Linked DNA regions of Callithrix jacchus. The protein of the gene in region 1 interacts with the protein of each later gene in a pairwise test. Links are inferred from orthologs where the notes say so. Each region holds a gene or a part of one and is shown in the gene's direction. Other genes may lie near its edges.

What was found. The genes of interacting proteins can lie anywhere in the genome.
Region 2: the proteins of STAC3 (region 1) and MAB21L3 interact in binary tests that used the Homo sapiens proteins (3 or more experiments, as listed by UniProt). The two-hybrid records come from large-scale screens. The link is inferred for Callithrix jacchus from reciprocal best matches to the Homo sapiens genes STAC3 and MAB21L3.
Region 3: the proteins of STAC3 (region 1) and PPARA interact in a two-hybrid assay, tested with the Homo sapiens proteins (2 studies listed by BioGRID). The two-hybrid records come from large-scale screens. The link is inferred for Callithrix jacchus from reciprocal best matches to the Homo sapiens genes STAC3 and PPARA.

What each region holds. Positions count from the first base shown.
Region 1 is NC_133510.1:62,456,125-62,466,193, forward strand, and holds the end of STAC3 (SH3 and cysteine-rich domain-containing protein 3), read left to right. Parts: intron 1-57; 5' UTR 58-58; coding exon 59-124; intron 125-364; coding exon 365-632; intron 633-869; coding exon 870-967; intron 968-1,170; coding exon 1,171-1,243; intron 1,244-2,157; coding exon 2,158-2,255; intron 2,256-5,365; coding exon 5,366-5,432; intron 5,433-5,611; coding exon 5,612-5,661; intron 5,662-5,951; coding exon 5,952-6,037; intron 6,038-6,197; coding exon 6,198-6,249; intron 6,250-6,337; coding exon 6,338-6,475; intron 6,476-6,665; coding exon 6,666-6,764; 3' UTR 6,765-7,119; downstream 7,120-10,069. UniProt on the Homo sapiens protein: Required for normal excitation-contraction coupling in skeletal muscle and for normal muscle contraction in response to membrane depolarization. Required for normal Ca(2+) release from the sarcplasmic reticulum, which ultimately leads to muscle contraction.
Region 2 is NC_133508.1:154,115,478-154,126,075, forward strand, and holds the start of MAB21L3 (protein mab-21-like 3), read left to right. Parts: upstream 1-4,420; 5' UTR 4,421-4,450; coding exon 4,451-4,498; intron 4,499-10,598.
Region 3 is NC_133502.1:213,847,426-213,858,023, reverse strand, and holds the start of PPARA (peroxisome proliferator-activated receptor alpha), read left to right. Parts: upstream 1-4,189; 5' UTR 4,190-4,316; intron 4,317-5,552; 5' UTR 5,553-5,632; intron 5,633-10,598. UniProt on the Homo sapiens protein: Ligand-activated transcription factor. Key regulator of lipid metabolism. Activated by the endogenous ligand 1-palmitoyl-2-oleoyl-sn-glycerol-3-phosphocholine (16:0/18:1-GPC). Activated by oleylethanolamide, a naturally occurring lipid that regulates satiety.

The sequences.
Region 1 (10,069 bases):
TAAGAGAGAGAAGAATGAAAGGGATTAGATTTCATAGTGGGGTCCAACCTCTTGCAGGATGACAGAAAAGGAGGTGCTGGAGTCCCCTAAACCCTCCTTCCCCGCAGAGACTCGGCAAAGTGGGGTGAGTCTGGGCCTCTGACCACTGGGTGTGGGGAGCGGGAAGCCATTATAGCTGAAGAGTGCTTAAATTGATCACATTTGTGTATGACTCATTTTTTGCTGGCCACCTGCAGCCCCCCTAATCCTAGGGTACATTCCTTACCCCTAACTAGAAAACTGTCTAGTTTGCTCTAGTGCCCCTGTACTCTAGAGAGGGTGACAAGTCCTTTTAACACTGGGTTTCCTTCACTCCCTCCCTCAGCTACAGCGGCTGAAGCAATTACTCAGGAAGGGGTCTACAGGGACAAAAGACATGGAACTTCCCCCAGAGCCCCAGGCCAATGGGGAGGCAGTGGGAGCTGGGGGTGGGCCCATCTACTACATCTATGAGGAAGAGGAGGAGGAAGAAGAGGAGGAGGAGGAGCCACCCCCAGAACCTCCTAAGCTTGTCAACGATAAGCCCCACAAATTCAAAGATCACTTCTTCAAGAAGCCAAAGTTCTGTGATGTCTGTGCCCGGATGATTGTTCGTGAGTCATGAAGGGAAGTGAAGAGAGTATGATGTTGAAGGCAGGGGTTGGGGGAGAGGGTATAGGAGAGGAGTATTTGTAGCAGACGGGCTGCGGCTAGAGTTGCTGTAAGGCAGTGCTATTAGAGATTGTGAGAGTAGGGTCCTAGACAGAAAAGGGAACCTAAGTGTAGCAGCAGTGGTACAAAGGGAAAGGGCAACCTGGAACCTTATCTGAATTTTCTCCCCCTCTCCCAAGTCAATAACAAGTTTGGGCTTCGCTGTAAGAACTGCAAAACCAACATCCATGAACACTGTCAGTCCTATGTGGAAATGCAGAGATGCTTTGGCAAGATCGTGAGTAGGCTCCGGGGAACAAGGTGTAGAAAGGTGGGGCCGTATCACCAGCTACCCCTTGCTGGTCCCTCCTCCATCCCATTCATTTCTCTTTTTCTTTCTTAGCCCATCTCTTTTTCTGAGAAAGGATGACCACTTATGAGAGAGATGGGCTTCTAGCCTACCTTGCTACCTCTAATGATTCCTCCTATTCCACCCTACAGCCACCTGGTTTCCGTCGGGCCTATAGTTCCCCACTCTACAGCAATCAGCAGTATGCTTGTGTCAAAGATCTCTGTAAGTGCCCTTTATGGAACATGAGGGAATGGGCAAGCCTACAGATGGTTTCATGCCATCTCTTTTTTTTTTTTTTTTAAGTGAACAGCTCCTTGCTATAAGTGTCATGCCATCTCTAGCTTTGGAAGCCAAATTCTGAAACAGAAACTTTCTATTTCCCATCATTCTCCCTCAACCTAATATTTTTATATTTATTTGGATCCAGAGGCCATATCCCCATTTTACAGCAGAGGGAGATAGGATTTAGTTGCAGCTACATCAGTTAGCAAGCGGTAGAGCCAAGACTGGAATCTCCAGTTGCTAGCTTCAAAATCTGTGCTCTTCATGTGCAAAATCATTTCTAAGCAAGAACAAGGATTCTAGACTGTCCTCATCCTTACTACAGAGTCATACCAGACTCGGGGCAAAGCCCAAAGGCTGTGGACACCCTGGGCAGGTTCATAATTTGGCAACCTTAAAAGCATATTCATTGACAATTTGCTCAACATTTATTTGGAGGAGAGGCTTAACTCTGAGGAGCATGGGTGAAAAAGAAGAACCTGTTGGTGGTAGCTCCTCAGCTTAGACATGCCATTCAGCAGTGCAAAAGTCAGCAGTTAAGAGGCCATTCTGCTTAGAAGGAGAATAGTGATTCTGAGCATGTCTCAACCCCAAGCAACCAAAGTTCTCTTTCCAACGTCACATAATGCTCTGCCTGGAAGGAGTTCTGATAAATACTTTTCTCCCTCACATTATCAGTGATGTTTTTAGAGCCCTTTATAGATTGGTGACCTAGGTATTGCCCAGCAGACCCTTCCCTAATCTTCCCCTGTGGCACCCCCACTCCCACACACATCTGCTCAATCCCACCCCTTCCTTAAGAGATCTTTCTCTGTCTCCCCAATAATGTCTTCTTTCTCCTCCCATTCCATTAGCTGCTGCCAGTCGCAATGACCCTGTGTTTGAAACCCTGCGCACTGGGGTGATCATGGCAAACAAGGAACGGAAGAAAGGACAGGCAGATAAGAAAAATGTGAGCACTGTACCTCCCCATTGAGGTCCCTCCCAGAGAATCCACAGAGCAGGTCATTTTTCCATTTGGAAACCTGACAGAAGCAATGGATCATCTTCCCCTAAAATTGCACATAACCCGGCCGGGCACAGTGGCTCATGCCTATAATCCCAGCACTTTGGGAGGCCAAGGCAGGCAGATCACAAGGTCAGGAGATTGAGATCATCCTGGCCAATGTGATGAAACCCTGTCTCTATTAAAAATACAAAAGTGTAGCCAAACATGGTGGTGTGTGCCTGTAATCCCAGCTACTCGGGAGGCTGAGGCAGGAGAATCACATGAACCTGGGAGGCGGAGGTTGCAGTGAGCTGAGATCATGTCACTGCACTCCAGCCTGGGTAACAGAGTGAGACTCTATCTCAAAACAAAAAGCCAGGTGCAGTGGCTCACGCCTGTAATCCCAGCACTTTGGGAAGCCGAGGCGGGCAGATTACCTGAGGTCAGGAGTTTGAAACCAGTCTGGCCAACATGGTGAAACCTTGTCTCTACTAAAAATACAAAAATTAGGCATGGTGTCACCCGCCTGTAATCCCCGCTACTTGGGAGGCTGAGGCAGGAGAATTGCTTGAGCCCAGGAGATGGAGGTTGCAGTGAGCCAAGATCATGCCACCACCCTAGCCTGGTCAACAGAGCAAGACTCTGTCTCAAAAAAAAAAAATAATAATAATAGCATATAACCCAACAGACACACTTTAGCATGCATTTTAGAGGGTTTCAGGACCTGCTGCAGCTCACTCCAGGCCTCTGGTTAAGAACTCCAGCCATAGATTATATTTTCTCAGCTCCCTTCTGAAATTGTCAGATTAGCCACCACAACCATCTGAGGGCTAGGCCCAAGGTCCTTGGTATTGCTGGGTAATGGAGGCAAGAGCTGTGCTTTTGGATGTAGGGAAGAGAACTTTTCATACCAAGTAACTGGAGAATTCTAGAGCCATGCAAGGGTACATGAAGATCATCATCTGGTTTGACCCATTCATTTTACAGATGATAAAACTGAGGCACAAATCTACTGGCCAAGAGAAGCCTCATTTCCTTATGCAATAGGGTTACTAGGTTGGTAATGCCATAGACTTGCGTTCAGTTCAGCAAGGAATTTGTTAGAATATTCTTCTATCTTTCTGGACAACCAGGGTGGACTGGTATGGATGACGGTTACAGCTAGATGGACTCCTAAAATTGAGTGGCATTACCCAGAGTCCAGGTTCTTTCAGGAGTATACAGCTAGAGGGAGATTTCTGATGCCTTATAACATGATTTAGATATAATCAAGATACAAATTGTATATTCATCCTGGGTGCGGTGGCTCACGCCTGTAATCCCAGCACTTTGGGAGGCCGAGGTGGGCGGATTATCTGAGGTTAATCATGAAACCCCATCTTGGCCGGGCGCAGTGGCTCACACCTGTGATCCCAGCACTTTGGGAGGCCAAGGCGGGCGCATCACGAGGTCAAGAGATTGAGACCATCCTGGCCATGGTGAAACCCCGTCTCTACTAAAAATACAAAAATTAGCTGGGCGTGGTGGCACGCGCCTGTGGTCCCAGCTACTCGGGAGGCTGAGGCGGAAGAATCACTTGAACCCAGGTGGAGGTTGCAGTGAACCGAGATTGCGCCACTGCACTCCAGCCTGGCGCAAGAGTAAGACTCTGTCTCAAAAAAAAAGAAAAGAAAAGAAACCCCATCTTACTAAAAATACAAAAAAACTTAGCTGGGCTTGGTGGCACTTGCCTGTAATCCCAGCTATTTGAAGGCTGAGGCAGGAGATTCACTTGAACCTGGGAGGCGGAGGTTGCAGTGAGCTGAGATCCAGCCTTGGAGACAAAGCGAGACCCTGTCTCCAAAAAAAAAAAAAAAAAAGGAAGAAAGAAAGAAGAGAAAAATGTACATATTTGTTCTTTATCAAAAAAACTGCAAAAAACAGAACTAGAAATCTAGGCTCAGAGTTGTTGATATGGAGGTTAGGCACAGGATAAGGAATTTCTATGGAGTGAATTATGACTTATAAGGCACTAGCAGTGTGATTTGGCTGCCTCCAGAAGGGCTAACATATTCTTGGGTTATATATATATATATATATATATATTTTTTTGTGACAGAGTCTCGCTCTCTCGCCCAGGCTGGAGTGCCGTGGCACAATGCAATTTTAGCATTCAATTTTAGAGGGTTTAGGGACCTGCTGCCGCTCCCCGTGTGCCTCTGGTTAAGAACTCCAGCCATAGATTGTTTTCTCAGCTCACTACAACCTCTGCCTCCTGGGTTCTCCTGCCTCAACCTCCTGAGTAGCTGGGATTACAGGTGCATGCTATCACACCCAGATAATTTTTTGTATTTTTAGTAGAGACGGGGTTTCACCATATTAGCCAGATGGTCTTGATCTCCTGACCTCGTGATCCACCCACCTCCGCCTCCCAAAGAGCTGGGATTACAGGTGTGAGCCACCACGCCCCGCCCCTGGGTTATATTCTAAGGGAATTATTATAAAAATTGTGCTATTATTTTTTTGAAGATGGAGTCTTGCTCTTGTTGCCCAGGCTGGAGTGCAATGGTATGGATCCAACTCACTGCAACCTCCCCCTCCTGGGTTCAAGCAAATCTCCTGCCTCAGCCTCCCGAGTACCTGGGATTACAGGCATGCACCGCCCGGCTAATTTTGTATTTTTAGTAGAAATGAGGTTTCTCCATGTTGGTCAGACTGTTCTTGAACTCCTAACCTCAGGTGATCCACCCCTGCCTTGGCCTCCCAAAGTGCTGGGGTTACAGGCGTGAGCCACCGCATCTGGCCATGCTGCTCATCTTTACTTACACACTGGAGTATTTTTAAAGGTTGACAGCATAGTCAAGGACCTGGAGTCTGGTAGTGAATTCCCTGTCATTTAGCTACATTCAAGCAGAATGTGGGTGACCCACCTGCCAGGATGTTTTAGAGGAAGGCAGGTGGCTAGACTAGCTATTTCCTCCAAGGCCTCTTCCAACCCTGAGATCCCATTATTCTATAGTTATCTGACCTGATTAGAGAGCGCTAGTGCATGGATTCCCAAGACAGTGTCTCCCTAACTCTGGTGCCCCCTCCAGCCTCTAGCAGCCATGATGGAGGAGGAGCCAGAGTCTGCCAGACCAGAGGAAGGCAAACCCCAGGATGGTGAGTGTCACCCACCTCCATCCAGAGATGGAGTAGGATCAGAGGCTCAGCTGTCGAACAGAGGGTGGAGGAGCAAAGGGCAGGCCAGCTTTGGATAGATGAGGCCCTTCCACAGAAGGGTAAAAGAGTAAGAACTGCCCTCCAGGAGACAGACAATTTGTTGGTGTTTCCTATCCCAGGAAACCCTGAAGGGGATAAGAAGGCTGAAAAGAAGACACCTGATGACAAAGTGAGAATCCTTCCTCCCTACAAGGACCCTGTCCTCTCCTCAACCCAGGTCTGACACCACCACTCATGGTCCAGCAGAAGCTCACTCTTTAACTCCTAGACTTCCCATCACCCTTGACCCACTCGCTCTATCACCTTGCACACCCACCAACAACCAAAAAACTCCTCTCAGTTCAGGGAACTAGAAGAGAGTTGGAGTGCAGAGTGTGTGGTGAATGCCCCTGCCTTGGAATCCTGCCCCTCAGTGTGGGGTAGAGGAGCCCAAGACTCATCATTCCCTTTCACCCCCAGCACAAGCATCCTGGCTTCCAGCAGTCTCATTACTTTGTGGCTCTCTATCGATTCAAAGCCCTGGAAAAGGACGATCTGGATTTCCCGTGAGAGGCCTTGGGGCAGGGGGCTGGTACTGTGGAGTGAAAGGGAAAGAGCTGGATTCCCCCAAGGAAAAGGGAGAGGGTGACTCAGGGCTTGGAGACTTGATCCAGGGTACAGGAGGGGACCTGCTATGTGAGTGAGGCCCTTCCCTTCCCCTCCCAGGCCGGGAGAGAAGATCACAGTCATTGATGACTCCAATGAAGAATGGTGGCGGGTGAGAGAAATGGCTAGGGCTAGGGTGGAGTGTGGGTTGAGTCCAGAACCCAAGATTGAGAGAGGACTCTCCCGACTATCTTCGCTAGGGGAAAATCGGGGAGAAGGTCGGATTTTTCCCTCCAAACTTCATCATTCGGGTTCGGGCTGGAGAACGTGTGCACCGCGTGACGAGATCCTTCGTGGGGAACCGAGAGATAGGGCAGATCACTCTTAAGAAGGACCAGGTAGGCTGTTGCCCCAGGTTAATGCCCCAGGCTAATCCAAGGCCTGAATGCCCCCTAGCCCACCACACTACTTGGAGAGCTTAACCATTAATGAGACTAGGGTAAGCCCCTGTAACCCCGGGCTCCCCTGCTGTCCTTTCCTACCGTTTCCTTTGATTCTTCTCCTACTTCTGATCCTTTAATCCTCTAGATAGTGGTACAGAAAGGAGACGAGGCTGGCGGCTATGTCAAGGTCTACACCGGCCGCAAGGTGGGGCTGTTTCCTACCGACTTTCTGGAGGAGATTTAGGCTTGCGGGCGCCCGCAGGCGGGAGACACCCACACCCATTCTGGGCGGGCCCAGTGGAATTTGGGGAGGGGGCGAAAGCAACAGGACTGCTGGGTAGATAGGAAGGCCTGCCTGAGCATGACAGGGCTTCTGGGAAGGGACTGGTTCTCGCCCCCTTCCCCAGCCTGGGGCCTCGGACACCTGCTGCCCAGAGCAGCCCGCACCTGAAACCTTTCGGGCCCCGCTTGCAAGAGCTGGAAGACAACGCATATCCACCAGGAGGAGCGAGGGACTTGGGGAGGAGGAGGGCAGGGGCGGGGGTGCGTGAACTGTCGAATGTTGCAAATTTATTAAAGTTTTGACAAAACGTAGAAAAGTTGTTCTTTAACTGGGGTTGAGAAGGCCTGCAGAGGGGTGGAGAATACCCCTCTGGATCATCCCTAACCCGAGATCCATCTGGGCTGAGGTTGACGGGAGGTGGGAAGACAGATGCAGCTGCCAGGCGAGGCCTCTGTTGTCAGTGAAGAAAGGGGAGCGCGGGACCCCCGCGCCCCAGAGGCTGGGAGCAGGATCTTGTAGTAGGGTAAGTCCCCCTTGTTCTTGGCGTTTTCGCCACGGGCAACCCCTTGCATTTCGGAATCTGGCTTGGAGCCCGAGCTAGGCCGCCAGGGGGCGATACAAGATCTCGGTTGGAGAGCGAGGGATGGGGAGGGGTGGAGGGTGGGTAAGGGGAGAGAACTGGAGACACCAAGCCCGAGACCCTGGGCCTGGGAGGGGGTGGGGTGCGTGCTGTCTCCATGGTAACACTTCCTCAAGTCCTCGGGGAACCGAGCTAGCGAGGCCAGGGGCCTAACCCTTCCCGTGCGGCCCCTGCCCTAACCCTTTCCGACAGGTACTGAGTGAGGACGCAGGGCAGACAGCTTCCTGGCTCTCACGAAGACACCCCTGCGGAGCGCCGTATGCAAATGTTATTATTTGCATATGCAAATATGCAAATATGCCGGCCCTGGTCAGGGCGGCAGGTGGCAAGGAGCAGGAAGGTGTGGGGAAGGGAGCAGAAGGAGAAGAGGAGTTTGGGGACCTGGGAGCGGACCCAGTGAGAGGCAGGCTGGGGTGATCACTGGAGTGGGACAGGCGGGGGGGGGGGGGGGGGAAGGAGGGCGGGGCGGGAGGTTCTTGAGCTCGATGGAGGGTGGGGGAGGGTCGGCTTGGCCAGCCAGGAACTCCTCTTCTCGTCTCCCCGTTGTCTGCCAGGACTGAGGTTGGCACCGCCTAGCAAGGTTGGCAGCGGGAGCCCGGGCACCATCTGCTGCTGGTGGGGGGAGGGCAGAGGCTCAGCTGGGCTGGAGAAGAGGAGGGCCTGGGACCGGTGCGCCCCCCCTTCTAGAAGGCTGAGGTGTGATGGGGGTAGGGAAGCACACTAGAAGACTCTGCAGAACCAGGTTCAGTTTTCTGCTCCCTTTGCCCTTGACGGTCCCGGATGCCTGAGGGGTGGAGGTGGTGTCATTAAAGAAGACCCCCCTTTAATCGCAATTGAGCTGGAACAGTAGATCACAGGCACACACACGCACACCAGCCACACACAAATCAAGCCTTCTGCACTCATCCTTCCTTGAAATCCACCTACCATGAATGTATGAGGGGAGGGTCCGAGAGGGTTCGGGTCGTCTCTATTCATCAAGGTCTGAGGTTCTCAAAACCAGAGCTCCCCCCACCCATGCTAAAGTAAAACCAATTTACTGGCTCATTGGGCGGCAATGCTGGTGTGCGGATGCCGAGAAGCAGGGAGAGCGGCTGTTCTCCCCCTACACTGGGGGGCGGCCCCCTCCCTAGCCTCACTGAGCCGGCAGCTGTCCCTAATTAGAGCGGCGGTTTAATTGGATTTATCAGCAGTTAATAGGAAATTAAGCAAAGGGCCCGAGAGAAGGGGGGCGGGAGGAGCGGGGAAACAAGCTGTGCTGAGCTCGAAGGAGGGATGCTGGGGTGCCAGGGGTGGGGACAAGTGGTCCATGGTCACACCCTCCCCTCTCAGTACTAATCCTGACTGTTAGCCTTGGCCCGTGGGTGGGCAGGAAAGCAGGTCCCCAGAAAGGGCTGTGGGAGTGACAGTGACCCTGTGTGAGCGCCCAACGCCCTCCATCCCCTTAAGCGGCGCCTGGGTGATGGATGATACTGCCGCACTCTGCAAAGGTCATAAGTCTGGGCCAAGGAGCAGACTGAATTGAAAATAGATCTGAGGAAGGCCAGTACTGGGGTGCAAGACACAACCCGCACCCCAACCTCCTTCACTGCCCACTCCACTCAAAACGCGCGCACACACACACACGCACACAGCGCTCCTTGAAGTCGGAATACGGGGGCAGCACGAGGGTAGGGTGGGGAGAAGGCAGGATACAGAGTGACCCTCTCTATAACCCCCACCAGCAGGCGTGTTGGGGATCCTAAGAATCTCCTGGTGCAGCTCCAACATTCGCTTTTTGCCCCCCCGCTTCCACAAACTGCCCGATTGGGGTCATTGGGGTTCATCGGGTCTGCTGCTCAGGGCCGGCCCAACATCAGCACCACCCGCCTTTAGGGGCCAGTCAAGGAAGCTTGCAGGCAGCTAAGCCTGGACGCATGGGCTTCCTAGTCACAGCCCCAGGCGCCTCCTGTCACCAAGACCTCATTATACTGCTAGGCTAACAAGGCCTGCTTCGGAGACCCTGAAGACCTCCCTGCCACATTTCACCCCGCAGAGCACAGATGGTAACTCTTGCATATGCTAAGGTGTGCCAGCCTGAGTGGGTGTGGGTGGTCTCTCCGTGCCGCTGGCAATTATGGGCACCTGTATCCCCAGAGTGTGGTCTGTGTGTGTCCACTTGTTTCTGGGTGTGTGTGGTGTGTCTACGTGAGCCCCAGGTGTGTCCAAATCTGTGCCGGGTGTGTGTCTGTTCCCCTGAGTCTATGTCTGTCAGGTTTGTCCACTTCCCGCTCCCCGGCTCCCATCTGGGCAATTTTGCCCGGTGCCTCCACGCGGGGGCGTTTCCGTGCATCTCCGCCTACAGGTTTCTATGTGTGAAAATCAGGAAGAGCCAGCGGGGAGTCTGTGTTGCTCTCGCGTCTCCGCCTGCAGGTATATGTGTCTCGGTGACAGTGCGTGGGCGTGTGCCTGGGTGTGAGCCGCGCGGCGGCGTGTATCCGAATGACAGTGTGACGCACGTGTGCGCGCGTGTGGGTGCACGCGCACGCTGGGATGAGTCTTCCGCCCCCCACTCCTTCCTTTCCCCATTCCTATTCCTCTCTTCTCTCCGGGTCGGCTCGGCTTCGCCGTCCGCATCATCTCCATC
Region 2 (10,598 bases), on another chromosome or scaffold:
GGGAGGGGTCTTTCAGGGAACTGTAACCAGTTTAGTATTGCAGGAGTGCAGAGTGCAGGGGTGAATCTTGTGCATAGTACAGTGTTGATAAACAGGCCATACACGATGGCTAACACCTGTAATCCCAGCACTTTGGGAGGCAGATCACAAGGGCAGGAGTTCAAGGCCAGCCTGACCAGCATGGTGAAACCACGTCTCTACTAAAAATATAAAAATGAGCCAGGCATGGTGGCACATGCCTGTAATCCCAGCTACTCAGGAGGCTGAGACAGGAGAATTGCTTGAACCCAGGAGGTGGAGGTTGCAGTGAGCCGAGATTGTACCACTGCACTCCAGCCTGGGCAACAGAGCGAGACTCCCTCTCAAAAGAAAAAGAAAGAAAAAAGATAAACAAATCACCCCAACAAGTTAGAATATCCCAGGTAAGATATATACTCTCGCATCCACCACAGACCCCACCCCTTTCCATTGTTCCACTCTATTCTGATTTATTACCCACCTGACCTATCATTTTCATTTGGGACTTCCTACCTTTGAACCCAGACCAAAGATCAAGTTCAAACTATCTCGATTACCATGTCATGTGTGAAAGGAAAGAAGACCCACTTTTTGGTGGAACTGTGAAGACCAACCCAGTGAACAATCCTACCCACCAGGTCAGACCAGGAGAATTACTGACATGCAGTAAAAGAAGGATCTTTCCTATGCAACCAACCTAAGTATCCATGGACCAATGAACGGATAAAGAAAATGTGGTACATGTACACCATGGAATACTACTCAGCCATCAAAAATAATTAAATTATGTCTTTTACAGCAATTTGGATGGACCTGGAGGCCACTGTTAAGTGAAGTTAGGAACAGAAAAACCCCTTATCTCCTTATTTATAAGTGGGAGCTAAGCTATGGGTATCCCAAGACATACAACGTGGCATAATGGATTTTGGATACTCAGAAGGGGGAGGCGGGAGGGAACTAAGGAATAAAAAACTACATATTGCGTGCACTGTACACTACTTGGGTGATGAGTGCACCAAAATCTCAGACTTTACCACCACATAATTCATCCATGCAATCAGAAACCACTTGTATGCCAAAAACTATGGAAATAACAATTAAAAAACAAAACAAGGCCGGGCGCGGTGGCTCATGCCTATAATCCCAGCACTTTGGGAGGTTGAGGCGGGTGGATCACAAGGTCAAGAGATCGAAACCATCCTGTCCAACATGGTGAAATCCCATCTCTACTAAAAATACAAAAAATTAGCTGGGCACGGTGGCGCATGCCTGTAATCCCAGCTACTCAGGAGGCTGAGGCAGGGGAATTGCCTGAACCCAGGAGGTGGAGGTTGCAGTGAGCCGAGATCGCGCCAGTCTGGCACCTGGCGACGGAGTGAGACTCTGTCTCAAAAAAAAAAAAAAAAAAAAACTAAACATCCCTACAAAAAAGGATCTTTTTCCTCAGGGAGTGAAATGGAGTATAAAGACAAATATTTTTTGAGGTCTTATCATGTGCCAAGTACTACGCTAAGTTTTTTTTTTAATCAAGCCTTTCTGTAAAAGAAGATAGGAGTCACAGATGCGTGCATATAATTAAACGTATAATTTGTCAGGTGATTTTATACATCTTAAAATACTATATTTTATTTATTATAATATCACATTCATGGCATTCTAATAAATGTCACACTAGTGACGTTCTAATAAATAATGTTATTTTGCATAATGTTTAACATAAGCAGATAAGCATTAACACTTAATGAGGGCCAGTTGTGTGTTAGGTGCTGAAGCTTCTCTGGAGACATGGAATAGACAAGGCCCCTGCCTCGAGTTGTTCACTGCTGTGGACTGCATCCCATCACAGGTGATTATCTCTGTCTGGTCTTCTGCATTGTCAGATTTAATCTGAGTCATACCGGAAATCTTTTAAAAAGTCAGAGTTTGTAACCCTGGCAAACTTTAACAAATTTGCATATTTCAGGTTGATTTGGATCAAGCTAACCTTCTTCCTTCTTGAAATTAAAATCTCAGACACTAAGTAAATCAGTAACAAACACTTGTGCTGGTAATCCAGGGCTGGCATGATCTCCCTGAGACTTCTCACACTGACAGCATAGGGTTTTGAATACCTTGTTAACCCGACTTTTAAAAATAAGTTCTTACTCTTCACCATAGAAACTGAGCCGAACAGGTTTACTTTTCCATACTTGCATTTGGTGTGAGTCATGAGAAATGAGGATATTTATTTTCCACGGAAGGAAGAGAACCTGAGCTAACTTTGAATCTCCTCAGTGGCCTGGCCTACAGGCGCCTTAGGCTTACTGTGATTCAATCCCTTGTTGCGGATCCTTTACTCAGTTACCCAGAGAGCTACATCTAAAAAGAAAGCTTGTCTTCATCAATCTGTCAGACAGGAGCTGTCAGAGAGTCTGTATTTGTGGGACTGCCCTGTACTTCAGAGCATTTGCCCATGAGGAGCTGTATCACTGAGTAGGGAACTAGGCTTTGCTCCCACAACACAGCTATTCCCTGGATACGGCACCCTGGTAAAATCAGACTCTGGTAGCTTCCCTGAGCACATGATTGTGTCTTCATTTCCCAGCCGCTCACTTGCCCTGCTGGTTGCTCACATCTGGCAATTGTCACTGGCAAGAGAAGATTCCAGTTATAACATTTTGATCAGCTGAAGTTCTAGAGCGATCGAGATAGGGCAGCCACAGGGGCAAAAATGATGACAGATGTCTGCGGTAACCCCTGGACATTAGGGAGTACCCCACCATAGGAAAGTGACTCACAAGTTAATGATTACGGTGAAAACAGAAGTCACGACAAAAATGAGCACATGGGAGAAAGAGTGGGACTTTGGCGATGTTGAAGATGAGGTAGAGAGAGAATACTAAATCGCACGTTCAGAGAAAGAGGATCTTGCTCACTCTTTAAAAAGGAGTTTGGGGCTACTATAATAAGAGAAGCCCAAGGAATAAGATTTTGAAAAACTTGGAAGTACTTGATATAAAAAGAAGGAGATTTAGAATTACATATAGAAGCAAATGGAAAATCAAGGCTGTTTTGAGGGGTGCTATCAGAGCACCCCTCATTGGAGGATGTAGTTTACAGTTTTGTATCAGGCTCTGCAATGGCAGGAGATTCTGTAGAAGCTGTACTGAGAGCTGGGACTCATACCGTGGGTGGGGCACAGAGCAGCTAGAGAACTGTGATTTGGCTTTTGCTTGGGGCAGAGTATGGGAAGATATGCAAATTCCGGGGCCCAGACAGTGGCGTGGCTTTGCAGGCAGCACTTCCAGGTGGGCTCGGAAGCACCTGCCTTTGCAACATTGCTCAAAAGTCAGCAATGCTCCCAGGAGGGCTGTCATTTCTTTAGATCATCTGATAGCAGACTCCCGTGATGTTTACCAGCTTCAAGGAGATCAGACCATTGGGAAATTCTTTTTTCTTCTGTAGTAAAACTAGCCCCAGCCAGCCCAACTGGGAATTTACTGCCTGAGCTGTTTTCCAACGTAAGTTTTGCTGGCAAAACCAGACGTGAGTGTTCCCTCGCCTCTCAAGGGACCTGTTTATACTGACTTTATTTTTACTGCCAGCTTTCAAGTTGGAAGAGGGAAGTTACCTTTAAAGGTCAGCAGGTGAGCAGAAGGATTCCTGACCGGCCATTCCTGTGTGTGTGTGTGCGCGCCTGTGTGCCCTCTGCCTGTGTGTGCCTGTGTGTACGTGTGTGCCTGTGTGTACGTGTGTGCCTGTGTGTACGTGTGTGCCTGTGTGTACGTGTGTGCATGCTTTTCCAAATGCCAACCGTTGTGCTCTGCTGTGGTTGACAAGACCTGATCACTTCTTTGTGGGCATAATGATGGGTCCCAGGCTGGTTGTTCAGCCGTTTATTTGTTGATTGTAAAGAAAGTAAATCAATCTGGGGGATTTTCTGGATTGGAGAGCAAGCGGTATTTACTGTCAACAAGATAAGGACGAGGAGATATAAGATACTGAGTTCCAGGTGCATCTAGTGTCGGGACAGGAGCATAAAAGGTGGGAGAAGCCAACTACATGCAGGGTATTTCTAACTTGGATGGAACTTTTAAGTACTTGGGTGGGAAATACAATTTGGAAAATTGCTCTCTGGTCAAAGAACCAGTCAATATAGCTAAATAAGGTATAATTAGGTTGGACTTAAATTCAATTTTATCAACCCTTCTTTTTAAATTCTTTTTTTTTTTTAATTTCCCAAACGATGACAGATGGATTTTCACAATTTGGAAATAAAAACTTGAGTGAACGGTTTGGAGGGAAAGTCTCTGGTCCATTACACATTTCTGGAAAAATTCAGTACCAAGACTCACATTACTGGGAGTGCTATCTACTCATGAGTGTTGTACTCCATTGAGGAAAAAAAGAAAACCAGGAAGTTGCTGTACTACTCAGGATTGACCAAGAAGCCATGAAATCCCTTACCGTGGGAGACTTAGAAGATTGCCTGCTGAATAAGGTAAGGACAGACCCGGTCTCTCCCATGCACCCCTCCCCATTCACGCTGCTCCCAACCAAACCTTGATCCAGAAAGGATCTCAAGCTGTTTCTAAATACACATAAAATGCTCCTCAGAAGACAGACTGTCACCCATAACAATGTTTGGGGACTTCACATATTTCAGTCTTCTCTTTGAGGGTTCAGTTCCTAGAGACATGCTTGGTATAGAATATAGAACGGAGAGTTGGAATCTGGGGGATGGGGGGAGCTCCAGCTCTGCCACTGCCACTCGTGTGGTCACGAGTCACTTCATCTGCCTGAGCCTTGACCTTCTTCTTTGTAAAATGGGAATAATAATAGGAACTTCACGGGGTCTTGGAAAAAGAGCAAATGAAATGAAAACAAAGCTTTTTAAAAACTGTGAAACTACTAGGTTTTAAAATATTACCATATTTTTAGTACATATTAGTTAAGAATTTAATTTCTTCTAGATGGTCATAGGCTGTCAAAAAATGTTAGAACTTGAAGGTGTCTTAAATATTATCCGGTTTAAGCCTTTTCCTTTACGGATGAAGCTATAAGGCAGGATGTTAATGTTAAAACCAAAATAGTTAAATTGACTAGGAAGTAGGAGCTAGTCTGCAGTTTTCATGCCTTTACAAGTACACAAAGCAAAGATCCTTATCATAGTGATAAGAAAGTGTATTTCTTAGGCAGAATCATTAAGAGAGATAAATAAGGAAAACCTGGGATGGTAAAACTATAATAAACAAAGTGATATCCCATTATTCCTCCCTTTGAGGACTCTAAATGGTAGAGACACCAGCTGGTATTTTTTTCCATGGGTCCTGTATTTTTTGTAAGAAAAAATTCCAAAATCTTTAGCATAGTGTTCGAGTAACTTCGAGTGCTCTTTCTACCCTCTGCTCCCCCTGCATTTCCAATAGCAGAAATCCTAAACAGTGCTCACCGCGTTGAATCCAGCTCCTGCCCCTTGATATATTGCACGGCGGACCGTAAGGGATGCAGTAGAGATTTCAACAGATTGCTAGAGGAGAAGAGATGCATTAGGTCTGATGGGAAAGGTGTCTGACAGAAAGAAGAGTGGAGGCAAAGCCTTGGACGAAGTGTAGGGTTTTCATAAGTGGAGAAGTATAGGAAAGGTCTTCAGGACTAAGGGAGCCCCATTCAAACAGTCAAGGTGTGTTTCATTCCCGGTCACCTTTCTCTTTTAGAGGCAGGACAGTGCAGTGGTTACAAATACAGGTTTTGGAAGGATGCTACCTGTGTTCTGTAACTGACTAACTCTGGGAACCTGGGAGAATTACTTAAACGTTCTGAACTTTGGTTTCCTCATCTATAAAATGGGGATAATCATAGCATCCACCTTAAAGAATTATGGGTAGGCACGAATGAGCCTGTGTATAAAAGGCCCTATTCACAGGAAAGACTCAATAATCTCAGCTCTATACAGTGCTGCTGCTGTTGTAGCTTCTGCTACGTTTGGGGGTTGCAAATATTCCGTGTGGCCCAAGCACTTGATTCATGGAAGAATTAGTCTAAAAAGGAAGGGATATGACGGTGGAAAGCCTATTTTCTCATGTGTATCTATCACTGGATTTAACTTTCCATCTCTCTAAATTATTAGCCTCTGAAAGGAGATGATACCTGTTTTGTTTGGTTGAAATTCTTTTAGCTGATGATTGGATTCCACGCAATTCCAGAATGAAAGGTCTGACTTCTTGTTTTCTGGAAGGAAGTTCTCAGTCTTTTCTTCCCAGTAACACTCGTCGGGAATGATATACACATCGGCTGCCTGCTCATGGGTATGACCTGTGTGCCATTCCTGGCATGCAGCTTAGCACCGCCACTCTGTCTCTCTCGCAAGGAAGTGTATCGGAATGTGAGTGAGTCAGAGTGGTATTATTATAAGGAATCACCTTGAGTTCCCAGAGTTTATATCTGAAACAGTAAATTATTCGCAAACGAGCTATTAACAGCAGCCGTGTTCATGAACCTGAGCTAGTAATACAAGTGACTTGTGGGGCAACAATGAGCCGGATGCTGTGGTTAAGGAGGAGGCAGGGAAAGGGGCCCGGGGTGGGACATGGTCCTGCAAGAGCGGGGGACATGCCTGGAAAGAGTGAGGCCCAGACAAAATCTGTTTCCGTGTTTTGCCATGAACTAGGTTTGGCGACAAGGCTGCCTCAAGGCTGCCAAGCCCCACTGCCTGCTTTTCCACACCCTAAAATGAACTTCTCGCTGTATCTGCCTAGGGTGTGGCCAGGATAAGTGGAGAGAAACAGTCTGGGGAGTCTGTGTTGTCACACCATGAGGGTGACAAGAGGTGTCTGGGACTAAGCCTGGAAACCCCCAGCACCAGTCACTTCTGGGCCACCAAATAGCGCAGTGATGCTGTGTGGGGAAGAACTTACTGCAGGAAGTGTGGCCAGAGACGTGGCGAGGGGCGGCGCTGCCCATCACCTAGTGAGAAAGAGGCTTCCACTCAGGTCCCACAGCAGGGGCTTCGCTTTCTGGCCCCTGCATGACCCTTTGTGCTTGTGAGAAGCCAGAACAGTTGCTGATGCCCAAATACACGGAGACTTAGGACTCCTCGTTTCATGAGTCTTGACTTTAAATTGAAGGCATTTTTAGGTTGAGGAAGAGGATGAGGGGTAGGCGGTACTTCTGGTACATCAGTACTTGAGGGTGTGGCCAAGTGTGATGGAAAGAAGAGTTGGAGAGCCCGTCTAGTTCTACCTCTACTGCTGGTGTGATGTTAGGAAAGCCGCCTGCCACGCTGGTCCTCCGTGAAGTCACACCAGACAAGGCAGTTTCTGAGGTCTCGTCCATTTCTAAGATCCTGAGTCTAAATTGCAACGGAAGTGATGGAGGAAGAAAATGAAAACTGGAATTTGTGACTCTAGGTCTCAGAAAGCATTCTCTTATTCTCACTTTCACCTTTGGCAATCAAAACAGGTCGTAAGGGTGACCTAATAACCTGTGTAGCAAGTGAGAGATTATACTTGTTTTCCAGGAGTGTGTGATCCTGTCCTGCCTGGTAAGAATTTCACCATCAAATGAGGGTACAGTTTGGCTGGGCGTGGTGGCTCATGCCTGCAATCCCAGCACTTTGGGAAGTCGAGGCAGGCGGATCACTTGAGGTCAGGAGTTCGAGACCAGCCTGGCCGACATAATAAAACGCTGTCTCTACTTAAAATACAAAAAATTAGCCAGGCATGATAGAGGGCACATATAATCCCAGTTATTGGGAGGCTGAGGCAGGAGAATCACTTTAACTTGGGGGGCAGAGGTTGCTGTGTGCCAAGATGTGCCACTGTACTCCAGCTTGGGCAACAAGAGTGAAATTCTGTGCCCTCTTCCCCTTCTTTCCTCCTGCCACACCAAGATGAATTCCTCACTCAGGTTTCTGGATGTGCATGACTCCTTTCGGGTGGGAAATCCTTACAAAATGGTTTTGCTCTCTCTTCTCTCACCACTGACTCTTTTCTCTCAGCATTTAAAAATGTTTAAGCCTGTGTATCATTTTGCAAACCAAAACAAACAAGGAAAAGCCGTTCACATCCCTGCTGTTTTGGTTTTCCCCCCAAGTAAAAGTTCTTGGAGGAGTTGCTCACCTCTGCCTTCACGTGTGTCTTCCACTCAGCCTTAATCCACCGCTTGATGCCCACTTCTCCCCCACCATCAGTGCTGGTGCCCAGCATTCCCCCAGCACAGCAGTCATATTCGAGCTGTCAGACTCCATGGACATGTGGGGCCTTGACTCACTCGGCCACTTACTGTTGACTTTGTTCTTGAAACTCTTCCTCTACTTTTGAGACCTCTCACTGTTTATTCTCCCACTTCACCACCTCCTCTAAGGTGATTATATTCTAAAAATATCACAGGAACAATTGCACAGGCCTGAGAAACACAGAGTCTCTCTTTGTGCTGCTCATGCCTGTGCAATTGTTTTCCCTTGTGGAGCAACCTTCTTGCTCCTTTCTTCCTGGCGGACTCCTACTAAGCTTTCAAGATACAATCCCAACACACTGTGCCTCCAGGGAGGCCTCCCAACCTCCACACTGGATGAAGTGTCTGTGTATCCATAGCATCTGTGCAAACCTCTACCTTGCACTGGAGTGCAGTGATGTTAATTTCCAGTTTATTTGTCCTGCTTTGTCAAGTTATCTAGAAACCTTGTGGCAACATGTGTACACAGAGCCCAGCATAAAATAGATATTCCGCTAAAATTACTCAAATAAGATTGAATCACGACACAAAGCGGAAGTCCTGCGCTGGAGAGGCGACTTCATTCTGGGCTTCCAAAAGCTTTATTTGTGATGTGTTATTTTTTCCATAATAGCAGCCCCACACCTGTATTCTGTACCTATATTTGTCTTCCTCACTATTGTCAATGCATGGCTGCGTCTATTTTGTGCCTTGCTGTGTTCCAGCATTGAACGGTGCCCACCACAGAGCACGCGTTCAACAGATACTTACTGGTGAACTGACGCTACATGTGCTACACAACATGTGTACAAATAGGTGCACAGTCACCTTCTTATTCTATGTACATGTGAAGTTGGCTTCCTGGTTGATGGGAAGTATGAGTGAGATCTCAGGTGGCCCAGTTGATGACTTAATCTAGGAAAACAGGAATCTCTGACTTGGGCTTTTTTTCTGGCTGTGGTGATCAGTTTATGGGTGTCTCAGAATGACTCTAGAATATGTAGAAACAGCCATTATACCATAGTTCAGAGATTCATGGATGGGCATCAGATATTGCTTAAAACTGGTTACTGGCTGAAGGAGCCTCTGAAGGAGAGTCTTGTCATGACCGCTGGCAGGTGCCTCCCGAGCAAATGACAAAGAGCCCCCTCCATTTCAGAAGAAACTTGCTGACCCTTCTGTCTCTCATTTGGATTTTCCTGTGTCTCTCCTGGAGTTTACTAAAAGTTCCTTTGTGTTTCCCACAAACATCTATTTCCCTAAACCTAAAGTATCTGATTAGTGTTCAGTTTTCTAAGAGAATTTCCCAGTTCTTGGTAACTCACTGTGGTGACCCTCTGTCAGCAGAAACATAAATGCATACCTTTTCTTAAGGGTCTAGAAGCAAAACACAGGGGTGAGTACAGAGACAAAGAGAACCATCATTTACTGACGACATCGGTAGGAAGCAAGCTGCTGAGTGCTGATGCATGTTAAGAAATATTCACACCCGGGGCAGCAGGCGTGACAGTACCATGGTAGAGTCTCGCCATGGGTTACAAAGCCCTGTGTGATGACCTGGCCCCTGCCTTCCTCTCCAAACTCACCTCCTGTCACTTTCCGTTTGCCGGATCTATCCACAGTGGCCTCGCTGCTAACCTTAGAGAATTGTCTACTTCAGAGAAGGAGCATGGAATCTGCTCTCCCAAGCTGTCCTCATCCTCGCTCAAATGCCACCTCCTTAGAGAAGTCTTCTTTGTCCATTGTCCACCCTAACTAAAATAGCTGCCACTTTATTCTCTAGTCCCTTATCATATTTTATTTTTCTTCATGGGACTTATCATACCTGATATTATATTATACATACACACACATACGCACCTACACACACATATCTATGAAAGCGTGTATCATACAGAAATACACATATATACATACATACATTTGTGTCTGTGTGTATATAATGTAATATCAGGTATAATACTATATATTATGATATTGATATTAAATATCATATTATATATAATATATTATGATATTATATTTACATATATTCCTGTATTTTCTTTTTTTTCTTCTTTTCTTTTTTTTAATATAAAGACCAGGTTTCACCATGTTGGTCAGGCTGGTCTTGAACTCCTGACCTCAGGTGATCCACCCACCTTGGCCTCCCAGAGTGCTGGGATTACAGTCATGAGCCACCGCGCCTGGCCTTATTCCTGTATTTTCCTTTTTTTTTTTTTTGGCGACGGAGTCTTGCTCTGTCACCAGGCTGGGGTGCAGTGGTGCAATCTCGGCTCACTGCAACCTCCACCTCCCAGGTTCAAGCAATTCTCCTGCCTCAGCCTCCCAAGTAGCTGGGACTACAGGCATGCACCACCACACCCAGCTAATTTTTGTATTTTTAG
Region 3 (10,598 bases), on another chromosome or scaffold:
CAACACAGTGAAACCCCATCTCTATGAAAAATACAAAAAATTAGCCAGTTGTGGTGGTAGGCACCTGTAATCCTAGCTAGTCAGGAGGCTGAGGCAGGAGAATCGCTTGAACCCGGGAGGTGGAGGTCACAATGAGCCAAGATTTCCCCATTGCACTCCAGCAAGTGCAGAGCAAGACTCCATCTCAAAAACAAAAAAGAGAGAGAGAGAGAGATAGAAAGAAAGAAGAAAGAAGGAAAGAAAGAAAAGAAAAGGAAAAGAAAATTTGTCTATCCATATGTCACACTTTGCAGTGAGACTCTCACAGCACCTAGAACGACAGTCAGGGGTCTCACAGTTTCCTGTCCATGCCCTGGAGCTGGATCCTGTGTGATGAGGGGGCACCTGTCCCTTTGGAGGGGCGAAGAGGGGAGGCAGTGCAGCTGCAGGTGGGCTGCCCTGGCCTTCTCAAGATCGACAGAGAGACATCTGAGCCATGTCGAATGGGGCCTGCTGCAAAGCTGGAGACCGCTTAATTATCAAAGGGTAGAGGGTCATGGCAGCAGCAGTTCCTGGGCCTGCAGAAGCTTCCAGAACCTGCGAAGTTAGAATACATGCACAGCTTAAGCCCCTCCCCACTCCAGCGGTGACCACTGGTTAACGTGTAGCATGCAGCACGCAGCACTCGGTGCTAAGCTGATGGAGTCACGCTCCTGCTGACAATCCTCCATTGCAGGTGTCCTGCAGCCCTTATGACCACAGCCTAACTCCCCACCGGCCGTAAGACCTGCCTGGCCAGGGCCCTACCCAGCTCTGCCCTTCTTGTGCCATCTCCACACTGTTTCCCATTGAACATGGCCCCTCTCTCCTGCCACAGGCTTCTGCACATGCTGCTGCCACCCGCCTGGAGCTGTCAGGCCAGGACCAGCTACCAGGGAAATCCTGTCATTGACCCTAGACTCCTGAGACTTCCGGAGTCTGCCATGTCAGTCAGCAGACAGCTTCTGCCCCAGGCAGCTGGATCCCAGGAGTACCCAAGACCAGGTGCTGATGGACTGGGACTCGGGAGAGTTCTCACTCCCTGCTGGGGACCTTGGCCACGTGCTGCCTTTCCTGGCCCTTCATTCCTCATCTGTAAGATGGCGTAGGCACAGCCACCTTATGAGACTCTTGTGGGTTCTGTGCCCTAGTGTGACACTCCTTCATTACCTTGGACCCATAGGGGTTTGCTGTCAGTACCAGGAGGGCAACCAAGGACATACCCAGGTTGGCTCTCACCAACGAGGTCCAGCCTCGGGTCACCAAGCAGCTCCCTGCTCGCTGACAATGAGCCCTCCCTTTCTCGGCCCACAGCCTCTGCCCTGGTGGACTTCCACCACCTGACCTGCAGGCGTGCTTCCAGGAGCTCAGAGGCCACTGCCCTGGTGGATGCCATCCTGGAAGCACACATCCCTTTGACAGAGGGATTTGCACACCAGCAGAGGGCAAGTCAGCAGCAACCTTTGCAGGCCCTGGATCGCAAACAGACTGCAGCCTAGACCCCAGGCCCATGGGGGAAGCTTCACCCTGGCAGGATCAGGGAAAGCACTTGGGTCCCTAAACACAGATGACTGTCATCACCTGCTCCTAGCACTCAGGGTCTAAGTGCTGCCTGCTACTGAGTGGCCAAGCCCTACCACTCCAGGTTGCCTTCTCCAGCAACCCCTTCCCCTCTGAATTCCCAGCTTCCCAATCGTTTTCCTGAGACCGTGGGAGAGGCTGGGCTTCTCTGGCTGACTGGCAGGTCAGCACTTGCAGGAGTGAGAGGCTTAGCAGGGCAGCCATGGGCTTTACAGACCTGCCTTCTGTCCTGTGCCCTGCCACTGGCCTGGGGGACCCAGTGCAGATGGGGCCACTCTGTGCCTCAGGTTCCTTCTCGTAATGTGGGCACAATAAGAATTACCCTCAGAACGTCTTCAAGACCAGAAAATGTCAAAAGGGACCTGAGACAGCATTGTCACCACATAAATGGAAGCTATGAACTGAGATCCCTGTGCACCAGACAGGTGCTCCCTGTAGTCACTAGGCTCCAGAGAGGAAACTCAGGGCATGCTCAGAGACATTTTCAAGAGCACTGATTTGTCCTCCAAGTATAGATTTCTACTCAGTCCCTGCACCAGTGGCGTTTCTGTTCTGTCGTGTGGCCCTCATTTCAACAGCACTGAAGAAGGTAAAGAGAGGCTTCCTGAGCTGGGGATGGGGGTGGGGTGTGCCCTTTGTGACAGTTGCTCCCATGCTGGGTGTGTGACAAGGTCTTCGTGGCCAACAGAAAATTGTTTCACCTCTCTCATGTGAGCCTGGTTTCCCAAAAGAAACCTACCAGCCCCGGGAGGCATTAGATAGGGGCTGTTTCTGGCCAGGATGCTCCCAAGAGTCCTGAACTCGCTTCTACCCCAGGACGTCTGCGGGAGACTGGCTGAGAGCATTTGATTGAAAATGCTTATTTCTGGGACACATGGATGAAAACTAAGTTTTTTCTTCCTAAAACCTTGGGAGCCCCAAGAACCCAGGAATGTCGTCTTTTCTGTGTCCGCTGAGTGTTCATGGCCACTCTTCAGAGCCCCACTCAGCCTTTGTCCTTGTTCATGACAAGATACACCAGGTCTTTCAACACCTGGTTGACCTGGATGTTGCATCTGGGAAAAGAAGCCAACACAGTTGTGTGGACCCTGGTTCTTGAGAGCCTGGGATGTGGTTATGCCACATAATGTCCTTGAGGCCAGAGGTCCTCATGAGGATGTAGCCCCTGAGCTCTGCATGGGCAGCCGAGGGTCAGCTTCCCTCACCAAGCACAACAGGGTGACAAGCTTTGATGTGGCTGCTGGCACATCCCACGAGATATCCAGGATATTAACTGTATGGATCACACTGTAAACTCTGAAACACAACATGAATCTGTGCTATTGGTGGCTAGCATGTGCAAGAAAAGCTGAGCCTGCCATGTGCCAGCGGGAAGGATACGTGGGAGGGTCTGGAGGGTGGGGCAAAGTTCACCATAGTTGCCTGGCTAATCAACAAGGGTGAGTTTAAGGGAAGTCTGTGCAAGGGCCAGTTCCTGCCTGGTCTGCAGTTCCCCAGCCTAATGAGATTTGCGTTTCCTTTCCGGAGTGGGTCCTCCTGGGACCACAAATAGCACAGTGGCAGGCGCAGCTGGCAGTGGGGCTGGCATAGCACACATTTCGTTCCCGAGGAGGGGCGCCCTGATGTGCCGGCACCCAGGGGCTTTGTGCATTCCGCGCAGAGAGCTCGGGCGTCACAGCGCGAACAAAGCGGCTTTGCAGGGCGCTCTCCTACTCCTCGCCATTGGCCGCCGGGCCGCGACCTCTCCCTGCGCTGGCAGAGTCCCAGCGCCTTGCGTGGGCACAAAGTCAGCCCCTCATCACCCCCCCGGGCACGGAGTAGGGGGCGCGCATGGCTCTCGGGCCACTGGAGATGGGTGGGAATGTGGGATCGGAGCTAGCGGCTCCTCCCCGAGCCCGTCCGCGTTGCCCTTCACCCTCCTCGTTCCCCCGCCCGCCACACCACCCTGGCACCTCCTGCCACCTGTTTCCTCGTCCTCCCAGCTCGCCTTCCCCTTCCCCTTATTTTGCATCCTAGGGTTCCAGGGACAAGGTCCTTCCCGGCCTGCCTACCACCCCACGCACTTTGGAGGCTCAAGGGCACCCGGTCCCGGATCTAGACCCGCTCATTGCACCGAACGGCGGAGCCCAGCTCCCGGAGGAGGCAGGAGGGACTCGCCAGCGTGGCACGGGCGCTCAGCGGGAACCTCCACCCTCCCTGCGGCCGCGCGTCCCCTCCTCGAATTCAGCCCCATCGGGTGCGCGGGGCTGCAGGGGCGCCCACGCTCAGCGGCGTCCCGGCGGTGACCTTGGAGGGCTCCTCCACCTATTCGGCCTCAGTTTCCCCTGGTTGCAGCGGACGCGAGGCACTAGGTGGGAGCAGCGGAGAGTTCCCGGGGCCCCGCCCCCTCGAGCAGCCAATCGGGCGCCGCCGTCCGGGGGGTGTGTCCCGGGGCCGGAGCCCGGGCGCCCCGAGGGCGCGCGGGGCGGGCGGGGCTTCCGGGTCGGGCCCGGGGACAGGAGCCCGCGCGGACCGGGGCGGGCCGAGGGGCGGTGCGTGTGGCGGGGGCGCGGCTGGCACGGACGCGCGGAGGCGGCGCCGGGCATGGGCCGTGGACGCGGCGGCCCCGCGGCAGGGGCAGCGGGCGGCGGGGGCGGAGGCGGCCGCTAGCGCCCTGCCCGGCGCCGCCTCCTTCGGCGCTCGTCCCACGGACTGGCAGGCGGCGGACCGCGATCCAGGTGCCCGCGGGCGGAAGGGCGCGCGCGGGGGTCCGCCGGCAGGGCTTCCCCAGTCCCGGGACCCAGACGGCGGCGGACGGGGGAGGGGCAGGGGCTGGGCGGCGCATGCGCGGGGCCCGGGGTCTCGAGGTCTCGGGGGCCCGGGGATCCAGGGTCAGGGTGCGCGGCCGGAGACGTGAGGGCGAGGGGCGAGGACACACGCCGAGGACTCGTGCAAGGGGTCCCGGGGCCCTGCTCGTCCTCCCTCCTACCGCCGGGGCCCTGCCTGGAACCGTAGACTCCACGGCTCTCCATGGGGCTTGGCGCTGCGCGGAGGTCGGGTCTGGCGACCGCAGCGACTCTAAGTCTTCGGCTTGTCCCTTGGGAGGGAGGCTCTCGGGCGGGACATCGGGGCTTGCCCATCCCTCCGCGCCGTGGCTTCCCAAGACCCCCAGGGATCCCTGAGGCAGGGAAACCCGGGCCCGGACTGACCGACCCTGGGTGGGTGCGCCCGGCGGCTGCCGCCGGACCAAGACGCGCGTGTTAGCTCCTCCGGCTGTGACCGCCTTAGAGGAACGCTTCCCGCTTGGTGCCCCAACGCGGCGGGGTGACCCCCGGCAGCCCGAACGGGCTGCTCTCGGCCGGGTGGCTTCTCTGCGGAAGCCGCGCCATGTCGCTCCCGGTGGGGGCCGCTGCGGGTCTGGCGCGGGCATTCCCAGGTCTTTCCGGAGTCCTGGGCTGCGCGGCCCGCGTGGTGCGAGTGAAGCCGGAGGGGCGCTGGGTGGTGCCGGTGGGAGTCAGGAAGGTCCGCTCTGCCCCGTCTCCCACCCCAACTACCAGGGCACACCTGCGTGCCTGCGCGTTTCTGAAGCCTGCTTTAAAAGTTAAACGAGAGGAAGTGTGCTCCCAGTGCCAGGATTCTTTCCAAGAAAAACCCACAGTTGTCTAACCGGCGGGCTTCATGCGACCCTCCGGGACTGCGTGCCCACCTCAGCCCCAGCTGCCCCACCGACTCCCCCCCCCCCCCCCCCCGCCCAGGAAACCAGGGAGGCCTCTCCTCTCCCAGCCCGCTTGGGATAAGGGTGCCCTGGAGAACCGGGTCAGGGCAAGGGCACGGGTTTTCCTGAGAAGGACCGTGAGACACCTGTGTGGTTGTGGGGCAGGGGCAGGGTGACTTTCCTTTTCCAAGGTGGTGGAGAGTTGGGGGCATCCAGAGAACATAGCGTAATCACTTCCTCCTCCATCTTCTTCCTCCAGGCTGAAGCTCCGGGCCCAGCCTGCTCTGTGGACACACAGTTTGCGGCAAGACAAGCTCAGAACTGAAGTTGTCACCACAGGTAAATAGAAAGCTTGATTTACTGTTTCCAGATGGAAGTATTTAAGTGTGCTGTGTTTATTTCTGTTGTGCCGCAGACCAGCAATGTGGAGGTTAATTATTATTACTTCGGGATGCAACCTTAGATACGTTTTCAGACTGAAAGTAGCATACATGGGCATGGATTCCCTTTTTTTTTTTTTTTTTTTTTCCCGAGATGGAGTCTCCCTCTGTCGCCCAGGCTGGACTGCAGTGGCACAATCTTGGCTCACTGTAACCTCTGCCACCCGGATTCAAGTGATTCTCCTGCCTCAGCCTCCTGAGTAGCTGGGATTACAGGTGCCTGCCAACCTACCTGGCTAATTTTTGTAGTTTTAGTAGAGATGTGGTTTCACCATGTTGGCCAGGCTGATCTTGAATTCCTAACCTGGTGATGTACCTGCCTGGGCCTTCCAAAGTGCTGGGATTACAGGCATGAGCCACCCCGCCCGGCCTAAGATTCACTTTTAAGTTCTGAGGTACGGTGTCAGTTTTGCCAGGAACTTCATTGCTTCATGGCAGCCATGTTTTAAATTCATGTTATCAATTTAAAACTTGATAACATTAACTTTGAGAAATGTGAGTGCTTAGCAGACACTTGGGACATCCACACCAACTGGAACAGAGCTGTTTTCATTGTGATTTGATTATTAAGCAGGTGGCTTGTTGGGCAAGGCCCATGACAGAACATGCCAGGGATGGGCTGAAGATACAGGCCAGACGATAGGATGTGTGTGGTCACCATCCGTGAGAGGCCAGGGACAGAGGGGCTGAAGGTGACCTGTGCAACTCTGAAGCAAAGGTAAATTCACTGGCAAGCAAGGCACGGTCTCTCACTCCTGTAATCCCAGCACTTTGGGAGGCTGAGGTGGGAAGACCACTTGAGGCCGGGAGTTTGAGACCAGCCTGGCCAACATGGTGAAACCCCATCTCTACAAAAAAAATATAAAAATTAGCCAGATGTGGTGCCAGACACCTGTAATCCCTGCTTGAGCCTGGGAGGTGAAGCCGAGATTCTGACACTGCACTCCAGCCTGCATGACAGGGCAAGACTCCGTCTCACAAAAATAAAATAAAATAAATTAATTAATTAATTGACAGTAGAAAAAATGTTTTCTTTTACCTCTTTCTTTCTTTTTTTTTTTTTTTTGAGATGGAGTTTCACTCTTGTCAGCCAGGTTGGAGTGCAGTGGCGTGATCTTGGCTCACCGCAACCTCTGCCCTTCTGCTGCCTCAGCCTCTTGAGTAGCTGGGATTACAGGCATCCACCACCACACCCAACTAATTTTTGTATTTTTAGACGCGGGGTTTTGCCATATCGGCTAGGCTGGTCTCTAACTCTTGACTTCAGGTGAATCACCCACCTCAGCCTCCCAAAGTGCTGAGATAGGCTGGGCGCAGTGGCTCACACCTGTAATTCCAGCACTTTGGGAGGCTGGGGAGGCCAGATCATGAGGTCAAGAGATTGAGACAATCCTGGCCAATACGGTGAAACCCTGTCTCTACTAAAAATATGAAAATTAGCTGAGCGTGGTGGCGTGCACCTGTAGTTGCAGTTACTCAGGAGGCTGAGCCAGGGGAATCACTTGAACCTGGGAGGCGGAGGTTGCAATGAGCCAAGACTGGGCCACTGCACTCCAGCCTGGCAACAGAGCAAGACTCTGTCTCAAAAAAAAAAAAAGTGTTGGGAGTAAGCCCCGGCTCCAGGCCCATTTCTGGCATCTTAGACGTAAAATGAGAGACATGCCATAGGTATCAAACACTGTGGTTTTCCCTAGCTCCTGTTTGTCCAACTTATGAACAGAGTTTTTTTTTTTGTTTGAGATGGAGTTTGAGCTCTTGTTACCCAGGCTGGAGTGCAATGGCGTGATCTCGGCTCACCGCAACCTCCGCCTCCTGGGTTCAGGCAATTCTCCTGCCTCAGCCTCCTTAGTAGCTGGGATTACAGGCACGCGCCACCATGCCCAGCTAATTTTTGTATTTTTAGTAGAGACGGGGTTTCACCATGTTGACCAGGATGGTCTCGATCTCTTGACCTTGTGATCCACCCACCTCAGCCTCCCAAAGTGCTGGGATTACAGGCGTGAGCCACCGCGCCTGGCTCATGAACAGAGTTTTAAAAGTTATGTGTGTGAGAGAGAGAATGAGAGAGAGAAGAGAAAACATATGTCTTCTTTGTAAACTATTTTGTGACTTGCTTTATTAACTATTTAGGTTATGAAAAATCTTTCTATGTGAAAAATATTTATGACTCATTTGAAATGTCTATATCATATGTTTAGATGCAATCATATGTAGCCAATCTCTTCATATATGTATATATTTATTTAACGCAGTCATTCTATAAATATTTACTGAGTAGCTGCTGTGAGCTACTGTCCCCAGTGCTGAACAAGACAAGCTGGATCCAGGAAACTGATTTTCATACTAGCATATAAAAAAAGAAACTTAAAGACAGTCCTCATCGTGGTAAAGGATGAAGAATCTGTTTTTCCCAGAACATCTTACTCTTTAGAAATTGGTGACCAGTGTTCTTTTTCTTTCGTGCTATTTTGGAGTCTGTGTTTTTGTGATAACTATTTAAGAAGGCTGGGCACAGTGTGGCTCATGCCTGTGATTCCAGCGCTTTGCGAGGCTGAAGGGGATGGATTGCTTCAGCCCAAGACTTCAAGACCAGCCTGGGCAACCTGGTGAAACCCCATCACTACCAAAAATACAAAAAATTAGCCAGATATAGTAGCATATGCCTGTGGTCCCAGCTACTTGGGAGGCTGAGGTAGGAGGATTCCTTGAGCCTGGGAAGTGGAGGTTACAGTGGTTGAGATGGCGCCACTGTACTCTGGCCTGGGCAACACAGTGAGAAGAAAAAACTAAATAAATGTTTATGTAGTCATCTTGAAGCAGTCTTAAATTGTATTTATTTATTTACTTTTGAGACAGGGTCTTGCTGTGTCACCTAGGCTGGAGTGCAGGGGCATGATCGTGGCTTTCTGCGGCCTTGACCTGCTGGGCTCAGGTGATCAGCCCACCTCAGCCTCCCAAGCAGCTGGGACCACAGGCACATGCCACCATGCCTGGCTAATTTTTGTACTTTTTTCAGAGATTGGGTCTTGCTGTGTTGTTCAGGCTTGTCTCAAACTCCTGGGCCCAAGGTATCCTCCCACCTTGGCCTCTCATAGTGCCGGGACTATAGGCCTGGACCACTACACCTGGCCTAAGTGGTCTTCAAAAAAAAAATACACACACATTAATTAAAGTATTTATTTCCTTATTATAAATATATTTGAAACATGCCAATTTTTCTTCTCTTTTTTTGCTCTCTCAGTTTCTGTGTATGAATGTGTGTGTGTGTATGTATATATATATATATATCTTTCTTATTTTTGAGACAGAGTCTCTCTCTGTCATCCAGGTTGGGTTGCAATGATGCAATCTCAGCTCACTGCAACCTCTGCCTCCCAGGTTTAAGCAATTCTCCTGCCTCAGCCTCCTGCGTAGCTAGGATTGCAGGCACGTGCCACCATGCCCAGCTAATTTTTATATTTTTAGTAGAAATGGTATTTCACCATGTTGGTCAGGCTGGTTTCGAACTCCTGACCTCGTGATCTGCCCTCCTCGGCCTCCCAAAGTGCTGGGATTACAGGCATGAGCCACCGTGCCCAGCCAGATATAGTTTTAATGGCAAATAGGATGAGTGTCTTAACTTCCAAGTCGCCAGTGTTTTTGTTGAATGTTTGCACTAATTTTGTCACACTGCAGCTAGAGGCTGTGGCCTGTCTAATTTCTGCTTTTTTGGAACTTGAGGGTCTTTGTTTTTATTTGTTTTTGGTAGCTTGGCATAGAGTACATTTTTCTTTTTCTTTTCTTTTCTTTTCTTTTTTTTTGAGACAGAGTTTCACTCTTATTGCCCAGGCTAGAGTGCAGTGGCACTAACTCAGCTCACTGTAATCTCCACCTCCCAGGTTCAAGCGATTCTTCTGCCTCAGCCTCCCGAGTAGCTGGGACTACAGGTGCCCACCACCACTCCCAGCTCATTTTTGTATTTTTAGTAGAAACAGAGTTTCACCATGTTGGCCAGGCTGGTCTCAAACTCCTGACCTCAGGTGATCCACCTGCCTCAGCCTCCCAAATGCTGGGATTACAGGTGTGAACCACCACACCCAGCTGTAGATACTTTTTGAAAAGCTATAGTGTCTGATTACAGGGTAGAAATGTGCTATATCTGTTATTTCAGCCTTATGAGTTGCATAGAATAAGCCAGATCACCTTTAAGGCTGTGTGGTTAGGGACACTTAGGCACAGAATTTACATTTACAACTTGGTGATAAGATGGTTATAAGGTAAGAACTAAATAAGAAAACCCTTAGCTGTTCCAGTGGCCCACATTTAAAATAACATGTTTCTTTTTCCACTTGCATGCACTGAGCTTCTACGGAAAGGAGCACCGTGCAGGCACGTTTTCCAGACGTGACCGGATTTGCTCGTTACTCGGAGGCGTGTGCATTCTTTGCTTTTAGAATATTTAATTAGCACATTTTAATAGTGATATTATGGTGTCTTGAAAGTTTATGCACTTGCAAAGTAAAGAACTAGCCAGGGGCGGTGGCTTACGCCTGTATTCCCATCACTTTGGGAGGCCAAGTTGGGCTGATCACAAGGTCAGGAGTTCTAGACCAGTCTGACCAACATGGTGAAACCCCATCTCTACTAAAACTAAAATAAAATAAAAATTAGTTGGCGTGGTGCCAGGTTCCTGTAATCCCAGCTCCTTGAGAGGCTGAGGCAGGAGAATCACTTGAACTTGGGAGACGAAGCTTGCAGTGAGCCGAGACCACACCATCGCACTCCAGCCTGGCCAACAGAGTGAGACTCCGTCTCAAAAAAGAACAGAAAAGAGAAGTACTTACTCTTTGCTGGGTCTCACCCGATTATAGTTATCTTTGCAGCTA